Bombyx mori: one gene and its partner. The protein of the gene in region 1 interacts with the protein of each later gene in a biochemical or structural test. Links are inferred from orthologs where the notes say so. Each region holds a gene or a part of one and is shown on either strand. Other genes may lie near its edges.

What was found. The genes of interacting proteins can lie anywhere in the genome.
Region 2: the proteins of WW domain-binding protein 11 (region 1) and polyglutamine-binding protein 1 form a complex in vitro, tested with the Homo sapiens proteins (2 studies listed by BioGRID and IntAct, with this or other methods). The link is inferred for Bombyx mori from reciprocal best matches to the Homo sapiens genes WBP11 and PQBP1.

What each region holds. Positions count from the first base shown.
Region 1 is NC_085117.1:15,104,985-15,108,357, forward strand, and holds the end of WW domain-binding protein 11, read left to right. Parts: intron 1-2,192; coding exon 2,193-2,401; 3' UTR 2,402-2,873; downstream 2,874-3,373. UniProt on the Homo sapiens protein: Activates pre-mRNA splicing. May inhibit PP1 phosphatase activity.
Region 2 is NC_085131.1:6,064,026-6,067,226, forward strand, and holds polyglutamine-binding protein 1, read right to left. Parts: upstream 2,059-3,201; 5' UTR 1,780-2,058; coding exon 961-1,779; 3' UTR 501-960; downstream 1-500. UniProt on the Homo sapiens protein: Intrinsically disordered protein that acts as a scaffold, and which is involved in different processes, such as pre-mRNA splicing, transcription regulation, innate immunity and neuron development.

The DNA.
Region 1 (3,373 bases):
GATGATGCGGCGGTTACAGTTCTCTTTACGGAGTTCAGAAACGACCTATGGCAAACAAATGCTAGCATACCATTCTGCATTAACCGTGCTTTGTCCCTCAAGAGGAATAGTCTTAACATGACCGGTTTTGGAGACAAACGTGGCCACCATTTTTTTTGCAACACTCCGTGAACGAACAATTTTTGTTGGCTTTAACTCATTTTCGAACATCCAAACTCGTGACTGGTTTTTTGTTTCGGGTTCGTACGCGTATATCCAGGATTCGTCACCTGATACAATGTTGTATACAGCATTTGAGGATCCTGCGTGGAATCTTTCGAGAGTTCTGACGCACCAAGTAACGCGAGCCGCTTTTCGCTCTTCACAGAGCGAATGCGGTATCCATCGGGAAAACAACTTTTTTACACCTAATTGTTCATGCAAGATTATTTGTATTTGACTCATGCCAATCTCTAAAGTTGCCTGAATTTCACGGTATGTCACATGTCGATCTTCCTCAATCAGCTTACGCACAGCATCAACGTTTTCTTGGGTGACTGCAGTTTTTTGACGACCTTGACGGGGATCATCACTGAGGTTGACACGTCCACGTTGAAACTCAGCAAACCAGCGATAAATTGTGGTTTTGGATGGGGCTTCATCACCAAATGCATAAATCATCCGGTCAACACACTGTTTTTGTGTTAAACCACTTCGAAAGTCATAATAAATAATCGCTCTTGAATTTTCTCGAGTCAATTCCATTTTCTCAACGACTAAACAAGTTTGACAAAACCTCGTGACAAGACCGAGAATCTTTTTTTAAATAAATAAATGGTATTCGATTTTTAAAACCAAGGAGTTTTCAATTAAAAAGATTTTAATATGACAGGAACAGTGGAAATATTCCATTCCCGATACTTTTAGTGCAGCCCTCGTATTGCAAATAACATTTTTTACTTTTACAGTGTGTTAGTTTAATACATAAATATAAAACAATTTAAAGTATAAAAAGCTTATTCGAAGTGGTCTCCATTGGCTGCAATACAGTTCTTTAAACGTTGAGGCCAGTTATCAACAGAAGCACGCACTCTTTCCATGGGAAATTTTTTCACTGCCAATTGCTTTAGGGACTCCAAATTATCATGGCGTTTAGAGCAAGCCGTACTCTCTAAACCTCTGACCATAAATCATAATCCAGCGGATTAAGATCGGGACTAGACGACGGCCAGTCTTCAGCTCTGATGAAGTCCGAAACGTTCGTTTCCAACCAAGTCTGCGTAGACCGAGCCTTATGACCTGGCGCCGAATCTTGTTGGAAGGACCATTCTTGATTATTGAACATGGTATTGTTAAGGGGCTTCACTACCTTCTCAAGAATGGTATCTTGATACACTTGTGCCGATGTTTTGATACCTTTTTCACAAAAGTATGGCTCAGTCACTCCTTCATAGCTAATACCCCACCAAACCATCACTGAAGTCGGATAGTGCCCACGTTACACTCTGTCGACTAATTGGGAAGCTTCCTTAGAGCTTTGAGCATAAATACGGTCATTATGTTTGTTAAAATGTTGCTCAATTGTAAAAATTTTCTCATCCGTAAACAAAATTTTTCTATGACCTCCCTTTGCGTACCGCTTCAGTAGTTGTTTCGATTTTACCACCCTATTCTCTTTTAAATTATCAGTTAAGAAATGACCAGTACGTCTCTTATAGGCTGCAAGTCCTGAGTCATCTTTTAAAATACGCGACATGGTTCTACGTGGACGGCCAGATCTTTTTCTGTCACAAACAGAGGAGGTCTCATTGCACCTATTAATAGCCCGGTACACAAACATTTTACTAATACCAAGCGTATGGAGAGTTTTAAAAATTACATTTGGCTCCATACCTACTTTATGTAATGCAATCACAGCGATTCGGTTCTCTCTATCAACCCACTCCATTTTAATATCGCAAAATATTGTACAATGTATTGGCGCCAAAATGAGAAAACGCAATGAGCAATCATATAAAAATGACAGATTCCAAATTCAAATGTAATAATTTGTTTATTTTTAATTGTAACAGTATTTATGGCCAGACTAAGTATACCTCTAAGAGGTATCTTCGGTTTCGTCTTTCCCGCCGCGTTGCTACCGGTGACCTATATATAAGGCAGTCAAAGGGCTAATGGACAATTAACAATTGGAATCTTCAATCGTTTTACAGGTGCGACTATAAGTGCGAAACCTCAAATAAGGAACCTGTCGGCCGACGTTACGAGATTCGTGCCGTCGGCTCTGCGAGTGAAACGCGAGGACAAGAAGTCTAAACCGATCAAGTCTAATGTTCACAAGCCGACAGATATTCCTAAACAGGCTCCCACTAAAGACGACGCCTACTCACAGTTCATGAGGGAAATGGAAGGACTTTTATAAGCTAAATGGATAGGTTTACGTTTTGAGTACCACAACGCAGATCGAAACAGCGTGCCTTTGAAATTCAAATAGTAAATTTATAGTAAAATTAAAAAAAAAGTATTCAAGCAATGTCCCATTTATTTTAATTTTAATTTGGCAAAATTTGTACTAAATATTATTTAACAAAATTCTCTTTTTAAATTTTAACATAGAATACCTACAAACCGTGTTTGTGTAGTTAATAATCTATGGATAGCACTCGACGTAATTTGGTACTACGAACTGTGTGTATGAAATATTTTTATTGAGAATTGCTTGTGGCATTAATTATGAAACTGAAGTATTTTATGAAGATATAAAATGTTCATGGCAGATGACAACTTGGTATGCAGCGCTCTTCGTAACGGATTTTCTGTCAGTCTTATTTGTAAATAAGTGTTAAAAATAAAGTATCTTTCAGTTCGAATAAATAGTACATTTAAGTACGGTACGAGTATTGTTTTTTTTATTTTTCTAAACTAGGTTTTAGTATTAACTAAAAATATCTTGACAATAATAATTGCTTTAAATAATCTGTAGAAATATTGATAAAGAGGGGTCACACAGGTGTATGGTGTGTAGAAACCCGCTGAGTTTCTTGCCAGATCTTCCCAAATTCCGGTAGTTGATTCAAATTCGCGAAGCAGCTACTCTTGAGCTATTAGGTCTCCTTTGGAGGCGCTCGGGTAGCTATTAGAAAATCTTACCACTCCAGGTTGATCCCTTACCCGTCCACCTGTCCTGGTAAAACTGGAAAAGCCTCCGGCCCAACAGTAATATCTCAAACATAAAAAAGCGCGCATACTATACACGCAAGCACGTCATCGCTAGTGGCTATTCGTATCACTGTTGCCCATTGAGTTGCGTCGATGTCTCTTGCGGATACGCCACGTGCGTGCTTGTGACGTCATCAAGCCGCGCATCGTAACGAATTGATCCTGCATTTTGACA
Region 2 (3,201 bases), on another chromosome or scaffold:
TAAAAAATTGCACAACGAATTTTATTTCATTATTTCTACCTATTAAATAACTCTTATAATTTGTGTACGAAAACCTAGTTATATTTCATATAGCAGTGGGAAGATATTATACTGTGAGAGCACATTTACTTAATTGATTGTCTGTATGTTAAAACTTATAATTTACTCCAACTTCAAATGACGTTTGTGGAGAATAATCAGTGATAGGCAACAGCCTGTCTTGTGTTCCTGGCGGTGCGTCCAAGAGCGACGGTAGCCACTCGCCAGCAGATGGGCTGTATGCTCAACTGTCTACACATCTTGAATTTGTCATTAATGCAATTATGTTTGGATATTTGATAAAAAATATGTACCTACACTGTGAATATCAACCGGAACAATCAAAGACACTGCTGCCTAACGTCAGTTAATGGTGTGTTTGGGAATGCAGTTTGTATTCTGTCCATAAAACATATTATTTGTGGAATAACAATGGGAAAAGTTTAAATAAAATACCATAATTTCAACAATTTTTTTTTTTTACTTTGTATTGTAAATTATGTGCATCTGATTTCACTGACACCTAAATCTGGAATTATGAGATATCTAAGACTATTATTACCTATTTATAAAATATTGTTTTTTGCCAGGCATTCAAAAAAGGTTTGTTGAGAGTACTTAATAGTAAGCAAGAGCTTCTACATACAAGGGTAATAAAAAAAGAATTTTTGTAAAAATAAATTGTTACTTCGCATACTTTCGTGCAGAAATACATAAAACTTCAGAAATGTCAGAGAAGGCTAAAAAGACTTGCAAATGGGTAGGTTACATGCTCTACCCATTTAGAAATTAAACATGTTACATACCAAATTCATTAAGAACAACAAGTGCAGCTAACCATTTCATTTAATTTGGTTAATGTAAAGAAAACTGCCAGGTCTGAGTTTACGTATTATAATAGCAAACAATCTAATGAAAGTCTTATGGTGAAGGTGGTGGAGAATGTTGTTTTGCATTAGCTGCAAGTATTGCTCCAGGTGCTGGATAGGGCCTCATTTGATAGAGTGAACCAGAGGCTGTGGTATCTACACCTGTTTTAGAATGTGTATCTAAACCTGATGTCCAATTACCTCTAGGTACATCAGAGTAAGATGCTGGGTCCATTGGATCCAAGTCATTATCTTTGACCCTGAGCCTTTTTTTGTCTCTATGATGTGAATGTTCCTTTTCTCTTTCTCGGCGATCAGGTTTCTTATCTTTTTGAATCTGCGGAACTTCCTGATCCGAGGCCTCACTGCTTTCATCACTTTCGTCGCCTTCTTTCATCAGACGTTCTTCGCGCAATTGTGCGGCAGATTCCGTAGGCACAGCACGGGGATGTCCGGGTGGTATCCACGAAACCAGATTAGTGTGCACATTCCAAAAATAATGTTGACCATAACCTTCATCAAACACTTCTTCCCATCCTGGTGGCAAGGGCCATAGCTCTAAAACTTTCTCCTTGTGTTCTAAATATGTCTCAGTCGGTACCAGTTTACCTTGCTTCCATCTTTTAATACAAAAAGTAGAACATTCATGATAAATATTACTTTTATTAGGGCATCCTCGATGGCCTTTGACAGGATCGACAAAGCCTTCCCAAGGCTCATCTTTTCCATTTTCGTTAGGCTTACTATCATAATCTTCTGCAATTATTTCTTCGTTGATTTGACCAACAGATGCGACAGCGGTGGAATCTGCATTTTGTTTCAAAAGACCTCTTTTAGCTAAACGAGCAGCTAACGCCGGCGGTAAAGGCATTTCGCTGTGTTGTATATCTTGCCTAGCGTTGATATTTCTTTGGTCGTTTTTGAGTGTTCGCTGATTTTATTCCCGTTATAACGTAATGAAAACTAGGTAAAATCACTCTTAATTCACATAATTATACATCTACAACAACAACAGGAACTTGGTAGTAGTAGCAGTTCTATTTTTCCAACTGGAAAGGCAAAGGTATCATAACCATATATCCTAATCTTTTATCACTACATAGTATAAAATAAAGTCACTTTTTCTGTCCCTATGTATGTTTAAATCTTTAAAACTACGCAACGGATTTTAATGCGGTTTTTTTAATAGATAGAGTGATTGAAGAAGAAAGTTTATATGTATAATAACATCCATTAAATAGTGGAGATATCAATAATAAATTATAGTTTCCGAAGCGAAGCGAGGGCGGGTCGCTAGTATATTTTATAATGAAAAATGATAATATGGAGGCAAAATGAAAGGAAGTCGATTAATTTGGAACACTCATCACTTGGCATGAAATTAAATAAAATGAGATATGGGATGAAATTTAATATCGGTAAAATGGTGTTTATTTAATGACTTTTAGTGGACTTTCTGGAGAATCCCGAGAAGCTACAACATGAACTTGGTTTCATTGTGGTTTCATTTCAAATTTATTTTTAATTGTACAATGGTACAGGCCAAAGAAACAGCTCATACAGTTTAAGTACTTTGTTGTAGAAGGTCAAAACACTTAATCTAAAGGAAAAGTGACATGAATGTTAATAAGAACTAAGCCTATAGCGTTAACTCTTTCCTTCTTTAGAGTTCAAAAAGCTTTCACAAAAAGTAAAATTGACAGCATTATTCAATCACATTACTCTGATACCTCTGCAAAAATGATTCAATCTAGGTTATTGTCATTATAATTCAACTAGTTTCTTAGTTGAGAACAATATGATGACCTCGAGCAGGGAAAGATGGCAGGTCATCGCAAACGTATACATCAAATCTGCCCTCCCCAATACTATTTAACGATTACGAGTAAAGCATATTTTATATCCGTTTGGGAATGTTATTCTAACCGTGTATCTGTATACCTAATATATTATACTGTTTCTGGATGTTTCTGAAAAACAAATTAATTACATCACTTAAGTAACCCGCAATTGGTCAAAGGTTGAAATTCACATCAGGTATTTTTTTAATTCCTTGTACTTCATGCAAATCTTCATCTATTCCAATCCCAAATCTTTCCCAAGTCCCTGACTCACGATACGACTGAGAATTACCAGTTTCTGTCGCAAAAAATTTTTAACGGTGGCGGTCTGACAAGGCAGTTATACCAATGCAACAAACACTTCGAAGTTTTTTTAATTTATTGCTTAGTTGGGTGGACGAGCTCACAGCCCACCTGGTGTTAAGTGGTTACTGGAGCCCATAGACACCTAC